Linked DNA regions of Diceros bicornis minor. The main gene of each other region encodes a partner of the protein of the gene in region 2 in a complex. Links are inferred from orthologs where the notes say so. Each region holds a gene or a part of one and is shown on either strand. Other genes may lie near its edges.

Evidence for each region.
Region 1: MAP3K5 (region 2) and ARHGEF6 share a complex: the UniProt entries of both Homo sapiens proteins name them as parts of the cytoplasmic complex. The link is inferred for Diceros bicornis minor from reciprocal best matches to the Homo sapiens genes MAP3K5 and ARHGEF6.

The regions. Positions count from the first base shown.
Region 1 is NC_080781.1:124,405,057-124,421,484, reverse strand, and holds the start of ARHGEF6 (rho guanine nucleotide exchange factor 6), read left to right. Parts: upstream 1-9,398; 5' UTR 9,399-9,455; coding exon 9,456-9,620; intron 9,621-10,820; coding exon 10,821-10,904; intron 10,905-16,428. UniProt on the Homo sapiens protein: Acts as a RAC1 guanine nucleotide exchange factor (GEF).
Region 2 is NC_080762.1:1,822,679-1,838,980, reverse strand, and holds the start of MAP3K5 (mitogen-activated protein kinase kinase kinase 5), read right to left. Parts: upstream 8,706-16,302; 5' UTR 8,464-8,705; coding exon 8,052-8,463; intron 1-8,051. UniProt on the Homo sapiens protein: Serine/threonine kinase which acts as an essential component of the MAP kinase signal transduction pathway. Plays an important role in the cascades of cellular responses evoked by changes in the environment.

The DNA.
Region 1 (16,428 bases), on a different chromosome or scaffold from region 2:
TCAAATGTGATCACGAGTCTCCTTCTCTATATCTTTCTATACACATGTCTACAGACGTGATGTCCTGGTTAAAAAGAAAATGGGACTTTCTCAGTGGTCAGTGTGGTACATATTCTCATGAGTCTCCTGGTTCCCATTTCTAGTTAGATTGCACTTAGATGATTTTTTTCAATTGGTCATACAGAATGAGCATTCCACCAATGCCTCTGAGAACATTGGACCATGAACCCTTGATAAAGGCTTTTCCACATTCATCTCTGAAAATCACCCACCCAGTACATATGAAGGTCCCATTGCACATGATATCAGTTCTTTGTGACTAGATTGCATCATCACCATGCTGGCCATCCAATTTGGTGATTTTCACAAGACAGTCTTCTAGGCCTTTCAATTTTCTTTCTTTTTTTTTTTTTTCAAACAAAAGGTCTTACATATGTATTACTAAACCAACCTACTAGTGCAGAAGCATAGAAAAAAAGAGAAAAATCATTTTCCGAATAAAACGTGTCCAGATAGTGGTGATGTTTTCACCTTGATATGGTAAGATGCAAGTGACCTTGATACAGCACAAATATGTGTGCCATCTTATGTGCAATTCCTCACAGACCCAGCTTGGTTTTCTCCAATGTCTCCCCATGGAGTTGTAAATAGAATAAACTGATTTTATTACCACTTTTCATCTGAATCCTTTGGGGAATGGAACAATTCTGCTTCTGTTTTTTGGCCGGGAGTTGCTTGAATTTGAAAGTCTTATGAGAAGGTATGGCAAGGAACAGAGTCAACTGCACACGCTTGATGGTGGAGAAAGGGAGAGAGAGCTGAGTTTTCTTTCCTTGACAGATTTACCAATATTCGTTGTCAAATGGCAGTCTGAGTAGAAAAAGCTGAAAGAAGTGACTCCTGATGTATCACAAGAGGCCAGATAGTCAGCAAAAAGTAGCTCTCAAACTAGATGTGCTTGTCTACTCATCCTAAGAATACCTGCTTAAACTTAACCTTAAAGACAAAGTTAATGGCTTGATTGGGGCTATATGTGATGATTTTTCCCATGTTGCCCCTCTAGGAGAGAATCCACTTCCCCTTGGGAAATTAGACTATATAATCCCATATGTCTTTATATTGTTTGTCAGCAGCAAAGGTTTTACAAATATGCTGTATCTCTGGAATGTGAGACCATTGGGCATCTGTCATTTCAAGACTGTTATATAAATGAAATCATACAGCACGTAACTTTGGCTTTTTGTTTTGATTCAGCATAATTCCCTTGAGATCCATTCAAGTCGTTGCGTGTATCAATAGCTTGTTCCTTTTTATTGCTGAGTAGTATTCCATGATGTGAATGTACCACAGTTTGTTTAACCATTCACCTGTTGAAGGACATCTGGGTTGTTTCCAGTTTTTAGCTGCTACAAATAAAGCTGTTATGAATATCATGTGTAGGTTCTTGTGTTTTCATTTTTTCTGGGATAAATGTCCAAGAGTGTGATTGCTGGGTTGTATGGTAAGTGCATGTTTAGTTTTAAGAAACTGCAAACTATATTCCAGAATGGTTGCAACATTTTACCTTCCCACCAGCAATGTATGAGTGATCCAGTTTCTCTGCATCCTCAGCAGCGTTTGGTGTTGTCACAATTTTTTATTTTAGCTCTTTTGATATGTATGCAGTGGTATCTCACTGTGGTTTTAATTTGCATTTCACAAGTGGCTAATGACATTGAATCTTTTCATGTATTTATTTTCCATCCCCATATCCTATTTTATGAAATATCTCTTCATGTCTTTTGCCCATTTTCTATTGGATTAGTTTTTTTAACTAAACGTTGAGTTTTGAGAGTTTTAAAGCATACTTTAGGGCAGGCCCCGTGGCTTAGCGGTTAAGTGCACGAGCTCCGCTGCTGGTGGCCTGGGTTTGGATCCCGGGCGCGCACCGACGCACCGCTTCTCCAGCCATGCTGAGGCCTCGTCCCACATACAGCAACTAGAAGGATGTGCAGCTATGACATACAACTATCTACTGGGGCTTTGGGGGAAAAAATATGATAAAATTATAAACAAAACAAAACAAAACAAAAAAAACATACTTTACACTGTAGGCCTTTCAGATATGTGGTTTCAATATTTTCTCCCTGTCTGTAGCTTGTCTTTTCATCCTTTTCAAATGGGCTTTCACAGAACAAAAGTTCTTAATTTTAAAGCCTAATTTACAAATTTTTTTTGTTCTGTGGATTGTGATTTTATTAGCATCAACATATATCTTCTGAACTTGTCATTGTCTCCCTAGGATAAATTTCTAAAGTGACCTTGAGGAAGGATTTTAAGTGTGATACAAAAGCTATACATCGTAAAGGGAAAGATTGGTATAGTTAATTATATACAAAATTTAAAGCTTCTATATAGTAATTGATAAAAAATAAAATTTAAAAGACAAATACTAGCTAGCAAAAAAGTTAAAACATATATATCAAAAGATTAATGTCCTTAATATCTAAAGAGCTCTTGTAAATGCACAAGAAAGAACTGTATTAGGTCTAATTTGTTGCATGATATAGAAAATATAATTAAGAATAGATTAAGCCAACTTCTGCTTCTACCCATGGGGGATTATGTGGTACAGACTTGTCCTCCCGATATAAACAACTAGAAAGCTGGACAAAATATACGAAACAACTCTTTCCAGACATTGAGACAACAAGCAGTGCAGGACTTTGATCCCCAGGAGAAGGGAAACAAACGTGCAAGAACCCTGTGGTCACTCAAATTTTTGTCTAGATGTCAATTCAGTACTATGACACGAGGAGGAGCAACTTGACTGGGTGCTGCTTTGAAAAGAAAATCTCTAAAATACATTTTTAGGGATAATTGGGGAAATATTAATGTGAACTGAAAATTAGACGGCATTAGTGAATTATTGTTAATTTTCGTAGTTGTGGTAATAGATCTTGGGTTATGTTGAAAATGTCCTTAATTTTAGGAGAGACATGCCGAAGTATTTAGGGTGAAGCGATATGCTGTTTGCAACTTACTTTCACATAGTTTATCGCAAAAAACAGAGCCACTGAGCCCATATAGGTCAGTGAAATACGGCAGAAGTTTACCAGTGATTAAATCCGGAGGGTGTGTACAAAGATCATCATAACAGTCCTTCAATTTTTCAGTATCATAAATTTTCTTTATAATTTGTGTGTGTGGGGGGAGGAGTGTCATTTTTATTCCCCCTTCCTCCTTCCTGCTGGCTGGAATGCAGACATGATGGCTAAAGCTCAAACAGTCTTTTTTTTTTTTTTTTAACTCACAACTGCCTTTTAAAAAATAACAGCTTTATTGAGACATAATTCAGATAGTATATAGTTCTCCTATTTAAAGTGTACAATTCAATGGCTTTTAGCATATTCACAGAGTTGTGCAAGCACCACCAGATCAATTTTAGAATATTTCCTTCACCCCTCCCCCAACAAAAAACCCCTTATACATATTAGCAGTAACTTCCCATTTTCCTTCAACCCCCAGCACAGTTGTAGGCAACTGCTGCTCTACTTTCTATCTCTACGCGTTTGCCTATTCTGAACAATTCATATAAGTGGAATCATACAATATATGATCTTTTGTGACTGGCTTCTTTCAGTTAACATAATGTTTTCAAGGTTCATCCATGATGTAGCATGTATCAGTACTTCATTCCTTTTTATGACTGAATAATAGTTGATTGTAATATTTTGTTTATCCATTCATCAGGTGGTAGACATTTGGATTGTTTTCACTTTTTTGCTAGTATGAATAATGCCGCTATGAATTTTTGTGTACAAGTTCTTATGTGGACACATGTTTTCATTTCTCTTGGAGTGGAATTGCTGGGCCATATGGTAACTATGTTAACATTTTGAGGCACTGCAAAACTGTTTTCCACAGAGGCTGCACCGTTTGGCATTCCCATCAGCAATGTATGAGGGTTCCAATTTCTTCACATCCTCACCAATACTAGTTATTACCTATCTTTTTGATATAGCCATCCTAATGGGTGTGAAGTGGAATCTCATTGTGATTTTAATTTGCATTTTCCTGAAGGCTAATGATATTAAGCATCTTTTCTTGTGCTCATTAGCTGTTTGTATATCTTCTTTGGAGAAATGTCTATTCAGATAATTTGCACAGTTTTAGTTATTTGCCTTTTTATTATTGAGTTATCAGTTGTTTATATATTCTAGATACAAGTCCCTAATCAGGTATATGATTTTCAAATATTTTCTCCCATCCTGTAAGTTGCCTTTTCCCTTTCTTGACAGTGTCCTCTTAAGCAGAAAAAATGTCTAATTTTGATGAAGAACAATTTGTCTATTCTTTTCTTTGTTGCTGTGGCCTTGGTGTGATATCTAAGATACCACTGCCTAATCCAAGTTCACATAAAGAGTCATTTTGAACTATGAGGTGGGAAGCTAAAGATGGCAAAGTAGCAGGAGGGTAGAATCCTGGATTTCTGATGACTATGAAGCTGCATGCTAGCCTTAGACTGCCAAATTCTGGACTTACTTCACATGAAAGTGAGATAAATTATCTTATTTTTAAAAATCAAGAACTTCTGTTTCTTAAAATACACCACAAAATGAAAGAGTACAAGAAGATATTCGCAAACACATATAACTGACGTTGGTTTAGTATCCATAATGTATAACAAACTTCTACAAATCAATAACAGAAGACAAATAACTCGGTAGAAAAGTGGGCAATAGAAATGAGCAAGTATTTTACAGAAGAGGAAACGTGTGTGGCCAATCAACATGTGAAAAAATGCTCAACCTTTTTAGTAATCGTAGAAAAGTAAATTTCATACCCACAAAGATAATAAAATTTTAAAAGCCTGAAATATCAAATGTTATCTATGATATGGAGCACTGGGAAATCATACCCTGCTGGTGAGAATGTAAATTTGTATAATCAGTTTTGAAAACAATGCTTTGAAGATCCTTATGAAGTTAAGGACTAGTTGTAGTGGGAGTAACTGAAAAAGCAAGCTGGAAAGATGGTAGGTTGTAGTTAGAAAATGTAATGTTCGAATTTATGATTTAGGAGGCAGAGAAGTTTGTGTGATGACAAAGTACAAGGTGTGACCTTGCCAGTGGTTGGCTAACGTGGAGGAGTGTTCATTGAAGATAATAAGGTGTGTCAGCCTAGGCCCAATCAGGACAGAGAAACCACAGAGGGATTTGAACATGAAAAGTTTAACGTGAAGAATTATTAATAATAACAGGAGATAGGAGTAAGAGGGATTGAGTAGTAAGAAGTAAAGGGAACTCTAAAAGAATATAGGAATAACAGATATAATATATAGTAGCAGACAATATAAAAATAATATATAATAGTCACTACCCCTGAAGCTGTGATAACCCTCCTCTCTACCCGTGGCTGAGATCCAGGCCTTGTTAGAGAAGTTGCTGTAATGCCAAGTCAGTGGAACTTGCTGGACATCCACCCTCTGGATCTTGTTGAAAACGTGCCTCTCTAGGGTGCTGGTTTCCTGTTCACAGGGTGGGTGTCTCACCAGAGACATTTTGCTGCAGAACCACCCAAGCGTGGTGCCAGGGGCAGGTGTTACCTGCTGTGCATTGAGGAAAACAATGCTGCAGAAGATGAGCACTAGGAAAGCTGGGAGCTGGTCGGAGCCTGTGGAGTGAGCACACAGGAAACAGGAAGTGAAACCCCTTCTTCCTGCAATGTCTCTCCACTGCCAGCTACTGATAAATCTGCATATCCTGCTAGCTGGCCAAGTAAAACGTATTTAAAGGCCCCAGGTCCCTTTTCACAGAACAAGCATAAAGAGGGGCTGAGAGGTAATACATCAATTACCCATAGAGGAGGTCAAGGAACTGAGTGGTCATGATGTTGGACTGTTGTACTTGTGGTTATTGAAATGACCCAGGTGTTGGCAAAAATTGAGGTGGAGTGGAAGGTTATAAACCAACTTGTTTCTCCACGTGTGACCTTGGTCCACCTGCCTCAGAATCAAGTGGGATACTTTAATAATACAGATTCCTTTGCCCTGTTGCAGATCTTCTGAACTAGGACTTTGGGGAATAGAGCCCCCAAATCTTTTTAACAGATGTTCAGTAGATTTAAAATTTTAAAAATCCATTATGAATATTTCAGACACATAAAAGGAAAGAAAATAGTATAACTGGTACCAATGTACCCAGCAACCAGTTTTAACAAATATTAACATTTACCTCACTTCCTGTAGATCTCTTTATTTTTAATAAACTGTTACCTATTTTGGCTCAAGTTCCACTCTCATTCTTTTCTCCTTCCTTTCTCACAAGAGGATTATTTTTGTACATTGTTGTTTGTAAATCACTGCTTTAGGTGACGGAGAGTCTGAGGATTTTTGAGCAGGGGTATTACACTATCAAGAGGTACGGAGCACACAACTGTGCTCTGCCAGAGAGTTCATTAGGATGAGAAGATGGAGGTGGGAAAGCCAGTGAGTGAGGGGGCAGGTTTAGTGGCCCAGGGTGTATGGTACTAAGAATCGGAAGTCAAGTGACTGGCCTTTTCTCTTTTTCTCGTGCTCTTGTGTGGAGCCTGCTACTTGTTGTGTCACTGTGACCTCTAGTCTTTCCACCCCCCACCCTATTCCCCCAGTTCAGCCCCTCTTTTCCATCATCACTTGCTTCCCTATGCAGCCTGGGTTCCACGGTTAGTCATTTCACCCAAATGCTTGCTACTGTCCTGAAATCCCTTGCTCTCTTGACATTTGACCATACCAACCCCAACTTCCAATCTTTATACTAACAGGACTACTTTTTCTGCCTTGAGGAAATAACCTTGCCTTTCTGGTTTCACTTTATTACTTATAGTAATTTGTTATAGTCAGTGTCCAAAATGAGACAGATTTTCATCCAGGTGACCTCACTGGGCTCAAGCCTATTTTGGACTAGGCTGGGCTCCTGAAATTACCCAGGCTTTGTTCTTCACTAGAAAACGTAAATGATACTGCAATAATACTGCCAGATTTGTTTGTCTGTAGAGTACAATTTTGATGAGAAATTGTGAAAACTGTCCAAATGACATACAAAAATGTGTTTAAGTAGGTCTGACTTGGGAATTTCATTTATCCACAAATAGATCTTATATTTTTTTCTATTACATAGATTTGGTCACAGGTCAAAAGTCAATTACAACTTTTGATTGACCATTCTTATTTTGCCTATACATATAATTACATCAAACCAAACATTTAGATGTCAAATCCTCGTTATAGAACTACTAATAGACACAACAACATAAATCAATCTCAAAATGATAATGTTGAGTGAAAGAAGCCAGGTAAAAGAAATTACCATACTGCATGCTTCCGTTTATATAAGATTCTAGAAAATGCAAACTAATCTATAGGGACTGAAAGCAGATTGGTGGTGGCCTGGGCTTTGAGGGGAAGGGAGGGAAGAAGGGATTGAAAGGGCACAAGGGCACTTTTGGGGATGATGGAAAGGTTTATCTGGAGTGTGTGTATGTGTACGTGTGATTGTATCCCAGATGTATACATATGTCAAAATTCACTAGGGCCGGCCCTGTGGCTTAGCGGTTAGGTGCTCGCACTCTGCTGCTGGCGACCCGGGTTCGGATCCCGGGCATGCACCGACACACCGCTTCTCTGGCCATGCTGAGGCCGCGTCCCACATACAGCAACTAGAAAGATGTGCAGCTATGACATGCAACTATCTACTGGGGCTTTGGGAAAAAAAAAATAAATAAAATTATAAAAAAAAATTCACTAAATCATACATTTTAAATATGTGCAGTTTATTATGTGTCAATTATACCTCAATAAATAAAAAATCATTAGCAAGGAAAAAGTGTTTATTTTCAGCCATTAAAACAAACAAAAAATCCTTCTTATAATCAAGTAGTGCCTGTACCCAGAAGACCGTATGAGTACATTCATTCATTCATTCATTCAACATTTTTGAACATCGACTGTATACCAGGCACTCTGCTGGGAACAGTATTAAACAGGACAGATAAGACCCCTGCTCTAGGGAGGTTACATTCTGGTGGAGGAGACACATCAACAAGTAGTAATAGTAAAGCGTGATAAGTGTTATGACAGGGCAAGAAGGGGAAGCTTTGCAAACATTTAGCAGGATTATCTAAGCTGATTATTTGGTAGTAGATGCCTAAAGCTGTGTTGAAGAGAATTCTGAAGCTTAGCAGGATCCCATGCATAAGGAGGGGCAGTGATGGTGAGTACCATGCCTTTGCCAAGCTAAGGCTATGCTGTTCAAGTTGCCCTTATCATAGATTTCCTAATAGTATGAGTATTTCAACTGGTTATGAAAGTGTTTGAGAATAGTGAAGATCTCTTGTTATAGACCAGTTTTTTTTCAGAGCAGCATTTTTGACTCAAAGTGTTTCTTGTTGGGGAAACATCAACCTTCCAGACTGTAGTGTAGACAGAGGACAAGTGCTCTTTTATTCTCTAAAGTTCTGTTTTCAAGTGTTTTTTACCCGCTTATATGACTGTGTCTGAGCCTTTGCTAAGGGTATTGCAGCTGGATTGTGTAGTGGAACCATGTCCAGAAAAAGAATTGCTAAAGAATGCAAGTAAACAGGATGTCAGATGTTATCCTTAGCCTATTTCCCTAAACATAGCTTTTTGGCTGCAAAGTAAAATGCCACTCTTCTAGCTTCTGCTTATACACAGTGATGGCTGACAGCAGGCACAATCTTCATTTGCTTGGCATGTTGTCACCATGCAACTCAACGTGTTTTGCAAGGAATGATCGTGATACACCATCTCCGTGAGACAGTATGAAGACATCCGGCCGTTTCTTGGAAGAACTTTCTCAGCCTACCTTCTTTGAGCCTTGTTGTGCCAGCACAGCTCCCTACGAGGCTCGAATCTGCCTGACCTAAGAGCCAGTTGGCATCTTGCTCTTGACAGAAGCCAGCTTTTCACTGGGGCTAGACTATTTATTGACAGCGTTTTCCCCGACTGGCCCATGAGTGGCTCATTTCTAAGGTCCTCTGAAGTGCTGGCTCACCTCTGTTTTCCAAGAGCACTTGCTTCCTTCTCTCTCCTCCCTCCCCAGCATCCTCCCCACTTCCTTCCCTTACAGCTTCTTGCACTGTTGGGGTTTTGTGTGTGTGTGTGTGTGTGTGTGTGTGTGCTTCTTCTTTTTTATCCTAACGAATTTGTTTTGCAGATTTTGAAAAAGAAAACGAGTGCTATCCATGATTTTTACATTCATTCTATTTCCACATCTTTGAATGTGATCTCTGTGGTTTTAAAATTCCATAATTTGAGTGGGTTCCACCGTTGTCTAAGAAAAGTTGTTTCAAAGCTTTGTTCTGCAAGCCCCAGAAGAGAACTCATAAAAAGGAAGACAACAGCAGATGCAATCGCGGATGTGGCTTAGTCCTTGCAGCTGCCCCTGAGAGCTGTTTGGAGCGTACAGTCCTCAGTAATGAATCCAGAAGAGCGAATCGTGACATGGCTTATATCCTTGGGAGTTTTAGATTCCCCCAAAAAGACCATCTGTGATCCGGAAGAGTTCTTGAAGTCCTCGCTGAAAAATGGTGTAGTGCTGTGCAAACTGATCAACAGACTTAGGCCTGGCTCTATAGAAAAGGTAAGGGAAATTTACAGTACCTTGAGGATTGCTTACCACCAGAGAGCAGCAATAATATAACTCTTGAGATGTTCTATTGGGCAGGTCACGGGACTCTCCTTTAATCTCTAAGAGTTAGACATTCTTTCTTACTGTTTCTTTAGTTTGAAAAAGTCAGAAAATGAAATTCTATTGTTTAGTAATTGTCCCAGAAATATCAGTGTACTAAAAACCTGATACCAGGGGACAAGAACACCCGTATCACAAGCTTGCTCTGTCACAGATATACATGTCACAGCTCCTTGTGTACCGAGGGCATGTTCTGAACTTGGGGTACATATGAGTCTGTGTAATAATGGGGTGATTTATAACAGATATTGATGGTGTTTATTGGCAATTTGACTAAAATCAATGTAGATTTTCTTCTCAAGGAGATAAAATATCCATTGAAAGAGAGACTATTTAGCAAGCAGGAAAAATAATCCAAAATGTCACATAAGCTTTGTTAAAACAATAGAAATCAAATATATGTTTCAAATGCAACATGTGTTCAAAGTGAAACTAACGTTACTCTCTTTTAAAAATCCAAAATTTTTATTGTTGAAAACCCATGATCAAAAGGCTGGATAATTTCTAAAGTAGGCACCTTAAGTAAGTTTAACTGTAGAGTCCTACAGTTATTTTCTTAAAGTCAGTGGGGACTGTGACTGTGAGCATAGTTCTTTTGCCTTCTTGAATCAGTTTGTATTTTTATTGAACAGATTTATTTACTTATAATTTCTTAAACTTGAAAAATGGTGATAAAATATTTATAAAATAGAGACAACTGTGATCAAATGTAGAGAATAGCAAAGGGGAAAATATAATTTTAATAAATTGTCATGAGGAGGAGGGAGCAAAGTAATCAATTGAAAGCAAGAACCAAGCTCAAAAAACTGTCTGGGTCTCTCTAATTTGCTATTACCACACTTGGCAAAAAGCATGAGAAAAAGTTTGTAAGTAGAGATCACTTGGGACTAAAGGTTTGGTGACATTTGAAACAAAGACCAACCGTTTAGATTTTTGCATCACTTCCTTCGGTGGTTATTTCTCTTCCTGGATTGACAGCAATGTTGCCCCTTGCCTTAAAGAGCCTACCTATCTAGTCATCAATGAATGAGAAATATGGTATGCTTGGCATGGATGACAGTCTCCAAGTGACATTTGACTATATTTCTCTAGTACTGTCTGGAGCCCCAAACCGAAGCTGACTGCATGAATAACATCAATGACTTCCTGAAAGGATGTGCGACCCTTCAAGTGGAGGTAAGCCTGCCCAGGTTGTCTTCCTCGTTGTCATCATTTTTCGCTCTGCTAATTGAGATGGTGGTATAGTAAAAGTGCTTGGTTTATTTTCATTGTTAAACAGAGGAAGCATTGTATGGAAACCATGGTTAAGATTGGTGGTCCCCAGTGGTGGTTGCTAGTTTGTCTTTTCCAGAAACCAGTTCCAAAACAAAGCAAAACAAAATCAAAACTCAAAATACGATATCTTTTAAATACAGCATCCAAGCCGTGAAAGCAGGCTTCCGGTGACAGAGCTTGTGTGGATGTGAGAGCAGGCTTCCGGCGACAGAGCGTGTGTGGCGTGCTTCCCTACTAAGGGGAACCAAAAGTGGGCCACTGGCTGCTGCAGAGGGTCACTGCAATCCCCCTGAGTTTGGAAGAGAGGAAAGTCTATTGTCACTTTTTCCCACTTTAGAACACAGACCTTGAAATCCTGAGAGAACCTGGCCCTGAGGTGGAAATTGAATATTAAATTACATTGCATTATCTTATATTATATGCAATATACACAACATGTATAGGGGTTGTTGCTGAAAGGGAGGTGGTACTTTTGCCTGTGTGTTAAGAAGTTACTTAACTTCTCTGTGCCTCAATGTTTTTATCTGTAAAATGGACACAATTATAGCTACCTCATGAGGTTGTCTTAAGGATCAAATGAGATACTGCATAATAATTTAGGCTAAGAGCTCCAACTTCAAAAGATCTATGAGATAATGTATGTAGAGTGTTCATCACAGGACCAGGGACATAAGAAGTGCAGACTTGCGTTAGTAGTACTTTTTGTGGAGAAGTACTAGTAGTGGTTTGAGCATGGTCTCTGATGCTAGACTGCTTGGGTTCAAATCTCAGTTCTCTCTCACTAGTACCTTTGTGACCTTGGGCATGTTACTTAATTATGCCTCTATGCCTCAGTCTCCCTAACTGTAAAATGGGAATAATAGCAGCACCTATCTCATAGGATTGGTGTGTGAAATTTCAATGAATCCATGTCCTCGGAAGAGTGCCTGGCACATAGTAAGTGTTTTCCAAGTGTTAGCTATTAGTAGTAAGTAGTAGTACAAGTAGCTTTGCCCTAGATCAACTTTGCTTGCTTCAGAATTTTTCCTCAAGTTAGCCAGAGCATCAGGCTATGCACGTCTCAGAATATTTTATTCTGGGTTTCCCTATTGCCTAATTATAGCTCTGTGTGTGTGTGTGTGTGTGTGTGTGCGCACGCGTGTGCGCACATGTATGTGCATGGGCACGTGTATGTGTGCATAGGCACGTGTGCGTATGGCTTTTGAGGTAGGTGTACCCCGAGACCACTCTATATCCATTACAGAATGATATGTATTACAAACAGATCATGGTATTTTCTTTTTTTATTTGTCAAATAAAAACATGGTGAAGTTGCCAACAATTTCTGCACTCTGAAGCTGCCAGAAGGTATGCTGAGCTTCTTTGCAGTTCTAAGAATACTAGATGATACAGAAACACCTCCTGGGTCTGGAATTGTTGGAGAATGAGTCGTTTCACAAAAGTGGATTTTTCTGATAACTAATGCTTACTACTTTAAGCAACAATGCTTAAGATATTTTTATCTATTTTGGATATAAATCTTTCTAAAAAGTATGTCGTAATTTTCATTTTTTAAATAAAAGGCATTGGGCATATTTTTTATTATTTTTTGATAATTAAGGCTGGCCTGAACATTGTATGAATATTGTAATAAGGCAATCTCTGGCATCACGGTTAACCACATACCTTCTCTAGTTTCACAGACTTGGGTTAGAGTCTTGGCGTGGTCAGTTACTGACTGTGTGACTATGGGAAACGTTACTTGGCCTCTCTATGCTCCAGTATTCTCATCTATATAATGCAGACATTAGTGATATCTACTGCATACAATTGTTTTAAGGATCAAACGAGATAACGCATCTAAGGTACTTATATAGAACTGCACATAAGACATGCATAATAGCTGCTTGATGTTACTGCAATTATTAGGTAGTATTGTATGCAAAATTATGCCTGTATTGGGAGCTATATTGAGGCACTCCTAGAACCCTGAGGGAAGTCAATAAAATCAATACATAAGGAATGAGACTGAAAGCTGAGCTGGGTGCACCCAGCAGCCAAGAATACTGACCATCCAGTCTCAAGCTCCTGGGTAGCTAAGAGACAGACCTAAACACATATATTTGAAAATTTTAAAAAATTATTTTTTATTGAATATATTTGACATATAACATTGTGTAAATTTAAGGTGCACAACGTGTTCCTTTGATACATTTATATATTGTAATATGATTGCCATTGTAGCAATATTGATCACATTACATAATTATAGTACAATATTGTTGTCTATAGTCACTATACCGTGCGTTACATCACTGTGACTTATTTACTAGTCGTGCAAGTTTGTACACTTAAACAACATCAATTTTTGTCCTCCCAGCCCCCATTCCCTGGGAACCACCATTCTATTCTGTTTTTTTTGAGTTTGACTTTTTGAGATTCCACATATAAGTGAAATCATACAGTACTTGTCTTTTTCTGTCTGACTTATTTCACTTAGCATAACACCCTCAAGGTCCATCCACTTTGTCACAAATGGTACAATTTTATCTTTTTTATGGCTGAGTAGTATTCCATTGCATATATATACCACATCTTTTTTTATCCATTCATCCGTTGATGGGCATTTGCGTTGTTTCCATATCTTGTCACTTTAGACAGAGTATCTCTCAGGTCTAAAGTACCTAACACAGGGGCTGGCCCCATGGCTTAGCGGTTAAGTTCACGCGCTCTGCTACTGGTGGCCCGGGTTCAGATCCCGGGCGCGCACTGACACACCGCTTCTCCAACCATGCTGAGGCCTTGTCCCACAGACAGCAACTAGAAGGATGTGCAGCTATGACATACAACTATCTACTGGGGCTTTGGGGAAAAAAAAAAAGAGGAGGATTGGCAATAGATGTTAGCTCAGAGCCGGTCTTCCTCAGCAAAAAGAGGAGGATGAGCATGGATGTTAGCTCAGGGCTGATCTTCCTCACAAAAAAAATAAAAATAAAAAAAAATAAAGTACCTAACACAGTGCCTACTATAGGACATGCTGAATAGATTTTTGTTGATGCCATAAAACTGTTAACGTACAAAAAGCAAGAAGAGCAGGGCTTGACTATTGCCCAAAACACACTATCATTTATCTGAAGAAAGAGTGCCGGCTTGAAATGGTCGGTTTGGAAATGCAGAAAAATGAAGCCAGGGATGCAGCAGCACACAGACGATTTGAGTATCAACTGTGGGGCGTGGTGACCGTGTTAAAGGGCCGTTGTCTTCTGACCCTTTAGGTGCCCAGTTGGCCTCTATCTCTGTGTTCTCATAGGACTATAGTGTCCTAGGGTCTCTAGAGATCACACAACTTGCAACTGGTCAGGGAAGTCTGCTGAGACACCTGGGGAGAAAAGCACTCTCTAAAGTGCTTCCCCAACTTGGACAATACCCTTAGAAACACAAAGGTTTTTAAAATTTTGATGAAGTCAAATTCCTCTATTTTTCTTTTGTTGCTTGTGTTTGGGTATCATATCTAAGAAACCATTGCTTAAAGCAAGGTCATGAAAATTTACGCCTATGTTTTCTTTTAAGAGTGTTATAGTTTTAGCTCTTACATTTAGGTCTTTGATCCATTTTGAGTTAATTTTTGTATATAATGTGAGGTATGGGTCCGAATTCGTTCTTTTACATATGGATATCCAGTTGTCTGAAAGCCATTTGTGGAAAATCCTATTCTTTCTCCCACTGAATCAATTAATGTAGCAAGAGTCCTCCAATTTTGTTCTTCATTTTTAAAATCATTTTGGCTCTTCTGGATCCCTTGTGTGCCCCTATGGATTTTAGGATCAATCTGTCCATTTCTGCCAAAAAGCAAGCTGGAATTTTGATAGGGATTGTGTTATCTGTATATCACTTTGGGGAGTATTGCCATCTTAACAATATTAAGTCTTCTGATCCGTGAATGCAGCATGTCTATCCATTTATTTATTTCCATTTATGTCTTTTTAAATATCATTCAACAATATTTTGTAGTTTCAGTGTACATGCCTTGTACCTCCTTGGTTCAATTTATTCCCAAGTATTTTATTCTTTTTGATACTATTGTAAATGAAATTTTCTTAACTCCATATTTGGATTGTTCATTGCAAGTGTATGGAAATACAATTGATTTTTATATATTGATCTTGTATCCTTCAACTTTGCTGAACTTGTTCATTAGTTTTAATAGTTTTTTTTTTTTTTGCTTCCTTGTGGTTTTCTTGTACAAGATCTGTACATATGTATATCTGTGCAAAGAGACAGTGTTACCTCTTCCTTTCCAATTTGGATGCCTTTTATTTCATTTTCTTGCCTAATTTGCCTGGCTAGAGCATTCAGTACAATGTTGAATAGAAGTGACGAGAGTGCACATCCTAGTCTTGTTTTTGTATTAGGGAGAAGGTTTCAGTCTTTCACTATTAAGTATGATGTTAGCTGTGGGTTTTTCATAGATGCCCTTTATCAGTTTGAAGGAGATCCTTTCTATTCCTAGTTTTTTGAGTGTTTTTTCATAAAAGGGTGCTATATTTTGTCAAATGCTTTTTCTGCATCTGTTAAGATGACTATTGGCTTTTGTTTTTTATTATATTGCTATGTTGTTGTATTACATTGATTAATTTTCATATGTTAAATCAATTTTGCATTCCTGGGATAAATCCCAGTGGGTCATGTTGTAATATGCACATAGATATTTGTGCACATCTGTGATTATTCTTGAAGCATGTTTCTTCATAGAAATGAAATTACTGTTTCAAGATTTGATAGATAGTCTCAAATTCCTCTACAAAAATGCTATATGAAGTTATACTCCCACAATAGTGTAGAAAGTGCCTTCTTCCTCATGTCCCTGGCAGCACTTGATATTATTTATCTTTAATGTTTGCTAAAATGTTGGGTGAAAATGGTATTTCACTTATTGCTATAATTTGAATTTCCTGATTCCTAGTGAGTTTGGACATCTTCTCACCCCCTTATAGTCCATTTGTATTTCCTTTCCTGTGAACCAAATATATCTTTCTTATTTGTTTACAAATGATGAAGGCAGGGAGGACACTCAGGCCTCAAGAGAAAATCTTCCAGAACATATGGGAACATCCTCATGTCTAGAGTGTCACTAATGTGAGCAGGAAGTCCCTTGACAACACTATTCTAGCAATGGTAGTTTTGTTTTTGTTCCGCCTTTGAACTTGGTGGGAGTCAGGGACATATACAGTTCTTATGATCATTCGAGTGGCCTGGGTGGTACCTCTCTGACTGCATTGTCCTGGCTCCAGCCCCATGAATGATTGGTCTATGACAGCTCTAGTCCTGTGGTTTTCCTTTCAGCCAGGCTTTCCTCCTGTCTCATCCCCAGCAGGTACTCCTGCTTTGTCCCCTGCCACCCTTACTACCAGCCCATTGCCAGGGACACCCTGCCATCTCCTATTCT
Region 2 (16,302 bases):
AAAAGGGATGCTCCCAGCTGTGCTGTCAACCCAGCTCTCTGGCTCACTCTGGAGAAAGGCTTGGTCTACCACCACCTTGGCAGTGCCTCTGACCACCCTGCCCAGAAAAGAGCCTCAGACTTGCCCAGAGAAAGCCCAATTCACAGCTACGGGCCATGCAACTGGCAACCAGCCTCGGCCTTGGCTGCAGGCTTCCTCTTTGGTACCGAAAGAAAAATGTCAAAGTCAGCTTTCTGATGGATTATTTTACAAGACTGTTAACAAGAAGTCACTAAAATTTGTTTGCAAGAGGGGACCAGAAGTTAAGTGACACCACCGTGACTCTCCCTCATAATAAGGCTACCAGCATGGACCAAGATGTTAAAACTGACCCTCTTAAACAGCATATGTGCTTTGAAATGTTTTTCACCACAGGGGGAAAACACACCTGGATTACTTGGAAGTTAGAAGACCCGAGTTCGACTCCTACTCCACCACTTGATCTATTCTAGCCAGGTCACATACCCTCTCCAAGGAGGAGTTTCCTCAACTATCAAATATAGACGATGACATGGCCACATCTATTTATTTTATGGTGCTAATAAGATGATCAAAAGAGTACTACACTCCACAGAACAACATTCATTTATATCATCACTCTGATGTAGCCACATAAAATCACCTGTGCCCGCACAGGACCAAACTATGAATTGGAAAACACCTTGCTGGAGGTAAAAGCCACAGCCTCTGGACAGCAGGACTCGCCCGCCTGGTCCTGGCTGCTTAAGCTCTAAGCTGACATTTGTCACATTCACCATATCAGAAAACTTGAGTGTGCGATTAAGAGGCATGTGACATGGAATAGGCTGGGTGTACTTATTCTCCTTGGATGATTTTTAAATAAGAAATAGGGGTAACCAAGACTTTTCAAGGAGGACGAATTCTCTGGCATAGGCAAATACTTGGTTTGAATGGTTTGGAGTCAGCGGACAGATGGCCTGACAGTCACTAGGGCGGTTCTCCCCAGGTTTCTGTTTCTTACGAGTTCTTAGAAGAGACTGAAGGGTTGGAAAACACTGATATCACTGGTCACAACCATAAGCAGAGACTTGCTATACAAGGAATATAACTTCCTTCCTGTATGAATCATATACCAAAGGCAATTGCTTTCCTCATTGTGGATTACCTATTGAAACAGAAAAGGTCCCCTGGAATGCAGTGTTTGTTGTTACCTTGTGCAATTTCTGTGGCATTTCAGCTACACAGACCTGCTCTGCTACGATTTTCAGTAGGAGATGCTGCTAATATTTACATTTTCTCTCCTCCCTTCTGTCTCCCCTAAGAAAATTACCACAACGTAGACCAGGTTATGTATGTTAGTTTTTATGTTTTGCTTTGGAAAAAATCTACAAAATAAAACTCACATAAGAGGTAAGTACTCACTTTTAAAATTTTTGGAATAATTAGATGAGACTTCAAAAACCAGTTTTGTCTCATACCCCTTCTCCTTCTCCAGTAATCTGGTACACATTTTGATCAGCATCAACATCTCCAGCCAGAGAGAAAAGCCAGTATATTAACACAACTAAAGAAGCCAATGTGTTAGAATCACCAGTGAATTTTCAAATAATTTATAATTTTGCTTTGCTTTCCTTTTTTTTTCTTTAATGCTACTAATAAAATTTGCAAATTTAATTTTGCTCCCTGAAAATAAGGGTATCTTTCTTAAATATAGCCAGTTTCCCCACTTATCTATATCCAAATGATGGGACAGCCAGGCTGTTTCCAAGATATACCTTTCTCAAGGCTACAGGGTCCTGGGTTCCTCCTGATACCCACAGGGCTGTGCGTTCCTGCACCCCTGCCCACCCCCACGGCTTTACCACATCCTCAACTCTCACCTTGCCCCAGGCAGAGTGGGGTGGTGTCTGAAGGGACCACTTGGGGCAACCAGTTGGAAAGCAGAAACAGCTGGAACCTGTCGGTGGAGACCTGTGCATTCAGTGGGCTTTTGTGCCTGTCAATCTCCCATTGCTCCACAAAGAAGCTGTGAACCAATTTTCTCCTGCAAACCAGAAACAGGAACTGGCCTCCAAAACAGGAAGCAGGGGACAGTCCCTGCAGCTACCAGAGGGGAACTGACCTGGAGCAGAGAACTCCCAGAAAGCTGGCACCAGCCAAGGCCACTGGTGAGACGAGGCCACGCTGTGCACTTATAATTAGGCTTTACTGGAGGTGGAGCCAACTTAAACTACCAACTGACGAATGTCAAGCAGACCAAAGGCGACCAAATTGAGCAGAGAAATCAGGATCCCAGGACCCTGGGAAGCAGGGCCAGTCGTGACAATCTGCAGTTGACTATTTGGGGTAAGAAACGGGTGCTCTAAAAACAAATTCATTCTTGTGCTTTGAAGTTTTCTTTTTAGTTTTGCTTTTTGTCAATCTCCTAGTAAAGCTCTTTCTGGGAAATTACAATTTTGCCTCCAAGAAATCAAGAGGAGGGGTCAGCCTGGTGGTGTAGTGGTTCAGTTCATAACGGCCTGGGGTTCGAGGGTTTGGATCCCAGGCATGGACCTACACCACTCATCAAGCCATGCTGTGGTGGTGTCCCACATACAAAATAGAGGAAGACTGGCACAGATGCTAGCTCAGGGCCAATCTTCCTCACCAAAAAAAAGAAAGCAAAAGGAAGCACAGTGCTCCGGGTTCACAGGGGGTGGGCACAGGTGCTCCAATGGTGTGCCAGCAAAAAGTCAAAAGCCCAAAGAAAACCATGCACAGAGCACCACAGGAGTATTTCTTTAAATCTCTCCTAACTAGACTTTCTCCTGATGAGTTTGTCCACGTTTGCTATTTTGCTGAGGTCTGTTTCTCGTGTGAAGAAGTGACTGGAAGAAGGGAAGGGCTGTGAGTGGTATGACCAGAGGTCCTCAACACGGCTCCGCTGACCAGCAGGATAAAGCTTTCACTCATCCATGCTGAAATGAGAAAAAGAATCCTCAACAATGAGTTCTTCCACACAGTAACTGTATGCAAAGAGCTATTCCTTATTCTAAGGTTATGCCTTCCCTAATCTAACATAAAAATATCTTTTCCTTTTTGAGAAATCACGGCAGCAGACGGCCAGTTGTCGAATTCTCTCTCTCTTTCTACTATCCTTACTCGGAAAAATAAAATGTTGACAAACACGTTGGTCTTCAAATTTTTTTAAACTAGTTCATGGGAACCACTGTTCAGAAAATGCTGACTTCACCCTCTCCCTCTAAGTATCTGAGATGGCACACAGGAAAGCTCACTGGATTTAAAAGCAGAAAATGCAGAAGTGGGCTGGAAGACTTTCAGAACTTCTCAGCCGGGGACAGACAGGAGACAAGGGTGATGCTTGTTTTGGTCTGTCGTCAATAAGACTGGAGTCCTAAGGAGCCGTGCCGAAGCAAGTGGAACCAAAGCCCAGGAAGTTCCAGCGCCTCTCCAGGGACATGGCCTAAATGGCTGACTTTCATCACAAGCCCAAGTAAAGCGGGAACGTAACAGAGATGAAAATATAAAAGCTAAGTTCTCAAGATTTCAGCCAGTGTATGCTTCCTTCCTGTTACCCACTATTGCTACAGGGCCAAGGCTGGTAAGAGCTTGCAATCTGCAGCGAGCCTGGCTAAGGGAACACCCAGGCAGATGGACACAGTGCCTTGCAGCAGGGAAAGGGGAAGTGGGCGGCTGTTCTCATCCCGTGCCCACCATCCCGTGACCACCGAGAGCCAGTGAGGTGGCCTTGAGGAGAGCAGTGTCCCTGGGTCTCACATCAGCAGGAAGTCAAGGCCATAAGCAGAAGGTCGGGAGGGGAAGAAAGTTGAAAGGGGAGAAAGTGTTACTAGATTCCCTGCTGGCATTGCTCCCTCCTCCTCGAGCATCCTTCCTCTCCCTGCCCAGCATCCCTCCTTCCTCCCGACCTCACCACAGCACCTCCTCCTCTCCTCACCTTCAATCCAAAGTGAAACTCCTACGTCTGGTCTAGATGCTACCAGAAGCTAGATGAAAGCAAAAGTTGCTGAGTCTAACACGAGGAAAGGTGCATTCAAAGTCTCGGTGTCAGGTTTCAGGAACTTAATTTTCCTGAATGTTTAAAGAATGGGTTTCACACTTCGCGTACACTGAGTTAACAAGCTTCTCACAGGCTATTCCCAGAATCCAACCACCATTTATAACACTGTTTCTAAGGAGACGTGTGTTCCTGGTTCCAAGAAGCAACCTTAAATCATTTAACCCGAAAGAATGAATATAACCTCTTTACTTTCAGTTTTCCCATGAGCAAAATGGGGGAATAATCAAGCCTCTTCCTGCTATACTTCACAGAACTGGTGTTCACTAAAAAAATGTTTATGAGACGCTTCTACCTTGGGTCTGTCTACCTGAAAGGAGTAGCTCTGTATCCCTGACATCTCTTGGCTTTTATGGAAACTGACTGCCTACCATGCAGGGGCCTGGGGAGGGAATGATGCTTTTGTATATGTAAATATAAAGAATCTTCATAAAAGCTGTGACAATAGTAGTTTCCCCTCAGAACGGGAATGAAAAAAAAATGACAAGTGTAGTCAGGGAAGAAACTAGATTACAGTTACACAATAAACAGGGAAAATAAGTGAAAACCTTTGGCTGCAATCTATTCTTTAAAAAGACTCCAGGACACGTAGACAGGGAAGCCTATAAAAATGTAACCAGCTTTGAGTTCTTATCCATTCCATTAAGTGGAGCTATTCCAACATCAACACTCCCTTTTCAATGTTGGGGTCCTTGTTATCCCTCTGTCTCAGTGTAGGGGTCACCTCTGAACCCACCTCCCGATGTTGATTCTAGAGGCTTTTTCCTGGGAGCCCAGGGCGCTCTGTGCGGACCCTCACAAAGGCCTCGCTACAGCCAGCCCTCCCCATCAACTCTCAACGTCTGGGGCCGGAACATGATATACACAAGCAGTTCATCCATCCCTATGGACTGAAATGATTCCTTCTGTATTAATAATGTTGCAATTTTAAAGTACAGAATTTGAGAGCTGGAGGGAATCTGAGACACCAATTATTCCACCCCTCCACTATTTTCTGAGATTTTAAATGACTTGTTCCATATTAGAGAACCAGGACCAGAATCCAGATCTTGAAACTTGTTCCAAAGCTCTGTCCCAGCGTGCCAGGCTGCCTTACCTTTGCAGACTTACAGGAGTAAATCTGGGAATATAAGAAGTTTACTTCAATTTCCCCTCCACTTCCACCCCTGGTCAGTTTTACAGGCCTCTGCAGGAGGCAAAGGGCCTTGCTCACAATTACGTGGTTCAGAGCAGAGCCAGGATGGAAACTCCAACTGAACCTGCGGGACAGTGTTCGTCCCACCACATCATCCTGATTCAACTTACAAGTGGGGGCAGTGGATGCAGAGCAAAGGTCAGCATGGCCCAGGGGCCAAAATCCTGCCACGCCTGTTTTTGTATGGCTTGCAAGCTAAGAACAGCTTCTACATTTTTAAATGATTGGGAAAAAAATAAAAATAATAATATCTTGTGAATTATATGAAATTCAAACTTCAGTGTCCATTAATAAAGTTCTGGGGCCAGCCCAGTGGTGTAGTAGTTAAGTTCTGCACTCCACTTCGGCGGCCCAGGGTTCGCTGGTTCGGATCTTGGGCGCGGATCTACTCACCGCTCATCAAGTCATGCTGTGGTGGCATCCCACATACCAAATAGAGGAAGACTGGCACAGATGTTAGCTCAGCGACAATCTTCCTCAAGCAAAAAGAGGAAGATTGGCAACAGATGTTACCTCAGAGCCAATCTTCCTCACAAAAATAAATAAATAAATAAAAATTAAAAAAAATAAAGTTTTATTGGAATACAGCCACAATCATCTGTTTAGGTACAGTTAATGGCTGCTCCCCAGTAACAATGGCCGAACTGAGTAGTTGTGGAGAGACCTCACGAAGAGTCTAAAATATTTACCATCTGGCCCTTCACAGGAAAATTTGCACAACCCCGGTGGAGTAGGAGCAAGCACTGTTTTAGGAAGACAAGTTCTACTACCTTCAAGCTGGGAGGACGTCAGTTTAGAAAAATAAGGGGTTCGGACAAAACATATCATCTTCATTCATCACATCTTCACGCAGAAGGAGAGGGCTCCAAGCTCATGTCACTCACGCAGGCAGGGTTCAACTGGAGCCTGAGCGGCTGAGCAAAGCAATGGGATGGGACAGAGCTGGCCCAGAAACACAGGCCTTCCCGGAGCGTGTCCTCCCCTCGATTCCACACTGCACCTACATGGCTCACAAGGTCCCTGCCAGCTCTGCGTCACATGATCCAAGATAGAGACTTTCCCTTGATTCTGAGAGTAAATCAGCCCAGCTGAAGGGAGGCAGCAAGGGCAGAGCATGACCTTTTAGGGTCAGCTCCTGAAGCGGAATCCTGTATTGACTAGTTATGACCTCTGAGTCCCAGGGCCGGTTGTGGATCCCTTGGTTTTCTCACCTTAGAAGGAGAGTAAGTATTTCCATTACAGGCTCATTTGGAGAATTAAATGAGATACAGTTCAAATGTCTGGTCCCTTCTAATCTTTTTCTCTCCCTTTCCCAGAGATAGTACTTGGAGAATAAACCCTAAGTGAGCCTTGTTAGGAAACTTTCTTTCAAAGTAGCTCAGCGTTTAAGATTTTTCTATAGAACCCTATAAAAAATACCCAATCTATCAGTGCAATAAAAATAGGCCCAGTACTCAGCTGGGTGTTTTCCTCACGTATCTTTCAGTTCTTTGAAGCTTCTTCCAAGTTATAATCCAAAAATAAAGAGTGCTGTAATTTTTAGAAAAGTTATGCTTATGCAATTTTTATAGCAAGCTACGCAAAGAACCAAGCCATAATATATTCTACTCCTGTTCAGTTATGAAGACCAAGTCTGTAAAAAAACAGCAGAACCAGAAAGTCCTAGTTTATTTAGTCTGGCTTCCTTAGCATGAAGAAGTTCTTGTTCTTAAAATATTCAGCTTTGGCTGAATTCCAAAACTGACATAAGCCTACTTCAGGTATTCTGGAGAGACTGAGGAGAATCAGAACTGAAACCGGACTGGAATATAAAACCTTTTACGTGATCACAAGTGCAAGAACCTTATTGTTTGAAGCCACCATTAAATCAAATTTTCCCCCCCACACTTAATAAATATGCACATATTCTCAATATTGGTTGCACAGAGTGCTAAGGGTTAGTTTCAATAACACATCATTATTCCTTACATTTGCTAACAGAGAGCTAACTGCTTCAGTCACTAGAATTGCAGTAACACCCTGAAATCTGTCATAGGATGAAAAGATACACTTTTTTCATACATTATGCTAGCAATCACTTTAATGGCCAATAGCACATTCGCGTTTTCAACAATGTTAAATTAAACACTTTTCAGCCCAACAAGGGATATGGGGTAATAAAAAACAGACCTGGTTCTTTCACCGAAGTCTTAATAGAGTTACCACACAGCCTTAGTGTAAGTGACTTTTGGAAGTGACGACTTGAAACTTCGAATTGGTAAGAGATGGGAAGTTCAAGCCACTGAGCTCAAGGTAAAGTGAGCTGGGAAGATCATGACAGGACCTGCAGATTCACAGACACACTCCGCGTGCAGCCGGCTCCGCGGCATCAGTCACGGTGTCTGTTCTTCCAAAACTACCCCGAGAGAACGAGAACGTGACCTAAAGCGGTCACAGGCGCGTCCAGAAGGAAACACGGGCCACCCTGAAGGAAGGGAAGGCACCACACTGGACGGAGGACAGACCGGGGCATGTGCGCGCGCCGAGGACAAGAGTTCTGTGGGGGAGCCCCGCGCGGCGGTCGCGGGTCCCGCAGGGCACCCGAGGCCCGTGCACCGGCACCCCCTCCCTCTCCCCCGGGGCCCGTGCACCGGCACCCCCCTCCCCAGGAGCGGGGCCGGGAGCAGCGGGCAGCGCCGGGAGCGGGGCAAGAGTGAGAAGGAGGAAGCACGCCGGCTGCCCGGAGAAGCGTCTCCCCCGCGGCGGCCGGGGGCTCGGCCCCGACCCGGGGCGCACACGCACCTGCGTTGTAGAAGCGGTCCAGCACCGCCGTCTCCCCGAAGTCCAGCTTCCCGAAGTGCAGGGTCTCCAGGGCGGCGCCCGCCGCCTCGCACGCCTCCCGCAGGCTCTGCAGGGCCTCGCTCTCCGCCGCCGCCAGCGGCCCCAGGCTCGCCTCGTTGATCACATAGGCCACCGTGGTCCGCCGGCCGCCGCCCGCGCTGCCCCGGCTCCGGGGGGCGCCGCTCGCGCACGCGGGGCCCGGCGCGGCGCCCTCCACGTTCCAGAAGCTGCCCGGCGGCGGCGGCGGCGCGAGCGGGCTGTCCTGGCCCTCGGCCGCCGCCCCCCGCCGGCCGCCCTCGGCCAGCGCGCAGAGGCCCGGGGGCGCGAGGGGCGGCACGGAGAAGGTGAGGCCCTCGGCCGCCTCGCCGCTCATGGCCCCCGCGCCGCCGCGCCGCCGGGCCGGCCACAGCTCGGGGCTGCTCCGCGCGCGCCGGGCTACGCGGCTGCCATCGCGCGTCCCGCCCTCCGCGCCGCGCCGCCGCCGCCTCTCGGGCGCCCTCTCCGCCGCGGGGACGCCGCCGCCCGGCGGCCGCTCGCCCCTCCTCGGCGCCTCCGTGGCCGCCGCCGCCGCGGGTGAGGGTGCGGTGGGAGCGCGGGCGGCCCTGCCCGTGCGCCCTCGGGGGAGCTACCTGCCGCCCGACGGCCCGCCCCGCCGCCCCGCGCCACTTCCTCCTCCTCCTCCTCCTCCTCCTCCGGCCGCGCTCTCCCGCCGCCCGGCCGCCTCGCCCGCTCGGCTCCCGCGGCCGCTCGCGCCGGCCCCGCTTCCGACCGCCCCCTCGTCGGGCTCCGCGCGCCGGCCCGCCCGTGGGGGGCGCTGCGGGGAGCGCGGGCCGGCCCGACGCGCGCCGCTGCCACCTCAGCGGTGGAGCGCGAACGCCCGGGCGCACGCACGACGGAGCGCGCCAAAGTCTGCCCGCGACGCGCGGTGGTGCGCTCGGCTCCGCGGGGCGCGGGAGGACGCGCCGGGGGGATGCCCGCCGGGCCCGGGCCGGGGCCGGAGCGGGAGGGTGGCTGAGGGGGGACAGGGGCGCCCGGCAGGGCAGGCGAAGCGGATCAGGTCTGCCCCTGGTACTTTCCATTTTGAAGTCTCCAACAGCGGTGCTGTCACCAAGGAGGAATCGGTTAGCTCCAGCTGCCGACCGAGTTAGCATGCTCCTTTAGGTTCTAAAAACTCCCCTCCACCGCCACATGCTTTCCCGAGATGGAAGACTGGGACTTGGCAAATCATTATCTGCCAGAGGAAGGAGGGAGATTAAGTGAATTATTCTATCTTTTAAATTGCACCACAAGAAAAATAAAATGCCTGGATGGCTTAAGAGAGATCAAAAAGTATCTACTTATATGCGGGGCAAAAACAGATGTGTAAGTTCTCAGAGAACTTCCCCAGAATGCTATAACTTTCGGAAAACCAGTGAAAGATGCAATATAATAAAGTACCAGGTCTGGACTTCCCATCCTCAGGAAGCAAGATTAATGAGTTCTGTGAAAACGGTAGAAGAAGAATGCAAATTACATTCAAGCTTGGGGGAAACGGAGGATAAAACAGTTGAGTAGTGAAGAGTTAAAAGAAGGAAGGAAATGGTAATGTGGAAAACCCCTCGCAGCTGCACAACTGTATCCTCCACAAAGCAAAGTGACAGCTTTTTCTCAAGGCTTGTAAAAGGATAGAGGTAAATTTACAGTAAGTAACTTGCTCCTCTACGTGTCAGCTGGAATCTCCGTGATCCACAGCTGCCTTTGGACTGGGTGTCATTAGGAAAGTAGATGTGTAGTGGATCAGTGATCACACTGAACAATGTTGATGGGCTACTATAGATACACACCTTCTAATATTCCCGACAACTTGTCAGATCTCCAACTCCTGTGGGAGTAGATAACCCTCCACCCCATACTAACCCAAAACAATAAACACTGGAAATTCATTAGGACTATGTCTAGAAGACTTAAATGCCTAAATTCTCAAATAGCATTTTACTACACAAATAAGATCTAAGATTATACATAAAGCTATTTTCTAAAAAACCGTAACTCTGTAGACCATTTCACCTTTGCTTCCCTTCCAGGTCTTTTCAGAGCCACTTTCCATACACAATCTTTATGTTCATTTTACTTTATTTGCTTTGTTTTACTTTGAATTGATTTAATAACTTTAAAGATTTTATCGATTACTGGCACCCAAACCCCAATGCAATGCTGAAAGACTGCTTCTCTTGCTCCTAAGGCGCTCCCACATTAAAAAGGCATGGCAGCAGAACTGAAGTCTACTGGTCAGGACTATATTCTCACTCAGAGTCCCTCCCACGTCCACTTAGAGATGGACCTTGGGACACCTTGAGAACACCTGCAGGTAGGACAAAGAATTTTCGTAACAAAAGAGCTGGAGAAATAAAAGGGAGAGACTTCTGCTTCTGATTATGACAGATTAGGTAATTCTCATCAACCCTCTCACTGAAGAAGACTAAGAATGCTGGACAAAATTTAAAATAAAGGCATCAAAGAACTAATGAGATAAGGACGATCTACCCGGCCAGTTTCCGGAAGAGAGGCCAGGGATCCAGACGGTGTGCCTTGGTTGGGGCTGCTCCTGGCCTGGCAATTTTTGTGGCTCTCATTAGACATCTGAGAGGCTGGACTGCATTTCTGACAACACCTGGAAAGGACAAAAGTAAGGATGAGCTAGCCTAGAAGTAGGAGTGAGCTAGCAGTAAAATGACCCTTACATGGACAGCAACCCTGCCTGCAGACGTCAGGAAAAAGTCTCAAAGCCTGAAATTGGATTAAGGTAATTCCAGGCATTCGAGAATCAAAATTCACTCCAGAGGAAGCTAACATCATCCTGGGCCGTCAGTTCTTTCTACAAATACAAGATCTGTGGATGTCGGCAAACCTTTGAATGCATGGTAGAATGGTGGAAGAGGAACAAGAATATGACTCCAAATCCTCCGTTGCCATCTGTGCCCGAATTTCCCCTCCAGACCCACTCTCCATTCCCAACCCCAGTCTCAGCCTCAGGAGCCTAATCTCTATGAATTAAATCAATGGCTCCCTGGCTTTCTGTTTACCAACTAGGTTTGGTCAGTGGGGAGTCCAGGCAGAGGATCTGAAGCAGGAAGGAGACTGTGACTCTGAGTCACCTCAGGCTGCTTGTTCCTCAACAGAAAGTCATTGGTCTTCTAAGGTGGCAGATCCCGCAGGACTCACTTTCTTACAAGATCTCATAACTGTCCCTCACCTTGTTGTTTGGCACCTAGAAATGATGACAGCTCTGAAGCCGCTAGCCCCAAGTTCCTGCAGAAGCCCTTGAGGCTTCCCTGTACGCCCTCCACACCTTTGCAATTAGTCTTTTTGTAAATAAACCCACCTCAAAGGATCCTGTTTCCTGTTGGGATTCTGATAACTACCAGTGAGCTTTTAGAAATCAGAAAACTAATTTAGCCTCTTTGGGCCTGTTTCTGCATCCATAAAATAAAGTGTTCAATTAGATTAATTTGAAAATCCTTTGAAGTTCTAATGTGTATTGATGGGTATTGATATATACATTCAATGTGTATATACTGAATTGAAATGTGTGAAGAATGAAAATACCACTGGGTAACCAAATAGTAGATGAAGGAACTTTCTCTTTATAGAAATATTTCAGCTAATACATATAAAAAGTCTGAGGTAGTTAGAATTTCACCATTTTGCAACTTTTAATGAGTTTGGATCCAGGTATGGATCATCAACAGTCACTAACATCATTAAGAAAGAGATAAGCAGGTGTCCTGTGCTTCCTGATGGGAAAACATACCACAATTATGAGGCAGTCACACCAAAGACAGGGGGCAGGAATCTCATCAAGGCCCTAGAATCCAAGTCTGAGATTCAGCAACTAATTCCAGGAAATATGGAGGACCCAAAAACAGGTTAAAACACTCTGGAGATGCAATGAGTGGAATCTCTAGACTGTGGGAAACTACAAGTGGCTCATTTTCTTGCACAAATAAGTTACGACCACTGTAACTGATGCTATGTTCATTTTCTAGTAATAACATGGTCAAATGTGTCTTAGGGCCATTTCTAGTTAAAAAAATAATAGTAAGTGCCCATTGCCATGCTAACTGCTTTATGTGCACATCTCAAGTCTTCCATCTTTCTAAATGAAGAGCCCAGAGGAAAAGGTTACCCGACGTGAGACAAGGAGTTAGTAACAAGACCAGGGTTCCAATCCAGAGCCTGTGCTATATCCGCTGCTCCTTATCAGCATGAAGGGATAAGATCATCGAGTCAGAGAATATTGTTTTGGTTCTGGTGTGAGGACATGCCACCAGTTCATCTAACAGCTGCATAAAGTTTAAAAGAAGGGTGATGAGAAGTTGAGACAGACTCTATTTGCCAAATTTGGAATTAAAATATCATGTCAAAAGACCATTCTTACTTCTTATTCTGGAAGCTGTATATGGTAGCTATGTTTCCAAACTCTTCCAGTGGAGCCAGGGAGAGTGAAGTCTTGGGGAATAACCTGAGGCCCAAGTCAACAAGGTGAATGTTGTTGGTGTTTGTTTCATGTCTCTGTTTTATCTTGAAGTTTGCCATTTGTTTCATAATTTATGCTAATTTGTTTTAATACAAAATCATGTTTTGGATTTCTTAATCCTCTGAGAAAAATCTGTGCTCCTGGAAGATGAACCTGGTTCCTTTGTATATCTAGTAGCTTCAAATTCCCTGTCCACCCACCTCAGCAAACTCCTGTAGGGTGGTTCTTAGCCATGGACGCAGATCAGATTCACAAGAAGAGTTTCACACAAATAGAGACTCCCTTCCCCAACCCCAGAGATGGAATTTAAATAAGTTTAAGAACAAGATTCCTTCAATATGCCTATAGGATTTGATAAAGCAGTTTTATCATCTAGAGATCTTATTCTTGGGATTCTTTCCATCTTTAAGTGATTCAATAAATGCTCAAAAATGGACAGAGTCCTGGAGTTCAGCTACACGAGTACTGGGATCTTCAACACTTAAAGAGATTGTCATAAATTCTAAAGTTGAGTAAAATGATCCCCCTCATGTGAGTATAGAAATCTGTCCTAATATTCCTCTTGCAGAAGCCATGTAAGTGGAGAATGACATCCCCAAATTTTTTAGCACAAAAGCTCACTTTGAATTCTATTATAAACCATTTTAAAATAATGCATTACTTATAACAGACTTAAAATATCAGAAATAAGTGATTTCATTGAATTAAGTATACTGTTATACTGAATGACTTCTGTAAAAGTTAGGATGGAATCCAATCTGTTAAAACATTTAGACAAAAAATATTTTTACTTGGGTTTTTCACTGCAAACTTACCACATACATTTTTATTTTGAATCACCTTAATCTAGCAAATATTTAAGCCTAAGTATAAATGACAAGGGGGTCCAGGAAATGGTGGAAGTTAAGTAAAAAGTAAGAAAAGAAAACATATGACTATTTAAATTTAGATTAATTAAAATTACATCAATTTGATGTAATTTGAATACTCAGTCACAGTAGCCACATTTCAAGTACTCAATAGCCATATGTGGCTAGTGGCTACTTTATTGGACAATGCAGGTACAGAACATTTCCATCATTGCAGAAAATCCTACTAGACATAGAAAGAAAGCTGTTTGGGCCTGCCCCGTGGCTTAGTGGTTAAGTGTGCGCACTCCGCTACTGGCAGCCCGGGTTTGGATCCCAGGTACGCACCGACGCACGGCTTCTCCAGCCATGCTGAGGCCGTATCCCACATACAGCAACTAGAGGGATGTGCAACTATGACATACAATTATCTACTGGGGCTTTGGGGGAAAAAAAAACGAGGAGGATTGGCAATAGATGTTAGCTCAGAGCCAGTCTTCCTCAGCAAAAAGAGGAGGATTAGCGTGGATGTTAGCTCAGGGCTGATCTTCCTCACAAAAAAAAAAAAGAAAAGAAAGAAAGCTGTTTGCCATACTGCTAACTGAGGGATTCGTATTCATTCACTTAGCACTATATTGAACAATTAATAAAGTGTGATCCCAACTGAGCTCACTCCTACCTGGAGAGACAGACAGGTAAAGAGACTGAGCTGCAATAGGATGTAGGCAGAAAGTGAGTCAGAGCTACACCCGTCCAGGTGAGAGGGAGGAATTCTAGCCCTGCAAAAAAGTACAAACATGAGATGGTCTGTTGAGTTCTAGAAAAACCACAAGTAGCTCAAGCTAATACGTATAAAGAGGAGGAGGAGTGATGGTTTCATAGTTCTCCCCCCACCACTACTTCCCTCCACAGCTCCTCTTACTACCACTGTGAAGCTAGGTCTACCACTGCTGCTACGACTAAAGTGCGCATTTTATACGGGGGTTGTTAAGAAACAAGTTTGCAAACTGAGGCTGAGGCCAGATGTTGAAGCACCTTCATGAAAGAAAGTTTAACTTCATGCTATAAGAACAGGAGACATTCGAGGATTTTAAGCAGGGGAGTAATATCCCACCTCTGTTTTAGAAAGAAAACTCTGGCTCGGGATAGAAGTTTGGGCCTGTAGCTAACCCAGAGGAAGTCAGGAGGCTTCTGCCTCCTGTTCCAAGCCTGGACCGGGAAGTACAGAGATCTCATGGCATCTCAAGTCTCCTTGAGCGGGCATGATTCTCAGGGAATCTTTGACATGCTTCCTCTAAAAGTATAGATGCCAATATTTTAATTTCACTTTCTGCCCTCATAGGTTGCAGCACTTTTAATACAGAGAAACAGTTCTCTTCCTATTTGGTGAAAGGACGACCAAGACCTCATCTGTTTAATATTGCCCCACGCTGCCCTGAGCTGCCCCACACTGCCCCATGCTCTGCCCACATACTCATCTCCTGGACTGTCAAAGTGTCACCTTCTTCTTCCCTCACTTTGACTATAATTCGTACTATTAAAGGCATCCCTGTAATTTAGATAAACAAATCATGAAAAGTATATAGCAAGGGCTACAGTAAACGTTTTTGTGTAAGCAACAGAAACCAACACTGACTACCAAAACCAAAATATGAATTTTTTGCCAAGATATTGTGGCTCCTGGCATCGATGCAAGGCTAGGGTCCAGATTCAGAAAATGGGCAGAAACCAAGAGCTGTCAGAGGCCAGCAGCTACAGCTGAGGTCATTGCACAGGAACAGCAGCTGTGACTTTGTCCCTAATAGATGTCACGCCTATTTTATATAAGACTACAGTTGTTAAAGACATAAATCCTCTAAAAGTAATAGTGCTGGTTCACTAATAGACAAGTCAACGAGACAGAATAGAAAATCCAGAAATAGATCCAATGACGTATGAAAATTTAGTATAAGATAAAAACAGCCTTTTAGAAGATTGGAAAAGAAGGACTGTTAAAAAGCAGTGTTGGAGTAACTGCACAGCCATATGGAAAGGATAACATTGGATTCATTCCCCAGACCACACACCAAGGAAACTTCCAAATGGATAGGACATATAATTATGAAAAATGAAACTCTGTGAGTACTGAATCAATATATGGGTAAATTCTTTTCAACTTAGGAGTGAGGAAAACTTTCAGGACTGTGACTCAAAATCCAAAGGCAAAAAGGAAAAAATAGATAAACCTGATAACATAAAAATAAAAAGTCTTTACATGGCCAATCATCATAAGCAAACTAGGCATGAGAATAGCAAACCGAGAAAAATATCTGCAGCTGATATCACAGCCCAGAAAACAAGTTTCCAAAAATAGAGAGCTAAGAAACCAAAAATCCTACAGAAGAATGAGCTATGGAAAGCCATAGGCAACTCATAAACATGGAAACACAGGCGTTTTTACCTGTGTACAAAGATCTCGGGCCTGCCCCGTGGCATAGTGGTTAAGTTCGCTGGCTCTCCTTCGGCGGCCTGGGGTTCGCAGGTTCAGATCCTGGGCATGGACCTATGCACCGCTCATCAGGCCATGCTGTGGTGGCGTCCCACATACAAGATAGAGGAAGATGGGCACGGATGTTAGCTCAGGGCTGTTCTTCCTCAGCAAAAAAAGGAGGATTGGCAATGGATGTTAGCTCAGAGCCAGTCTTCCTCACACACACAAAAAAGATGCTCAACCTCATTCACGAGACAAATGCAAATTAAAATTACGCTAGTATTCCACTTTTAACTTGCTACATTGGCAAAAATCCAAAAATTTGACAACACAGTCTATTGGCGAGGGTGTGAGAAAGTAGGCACTCATTCATTCCTG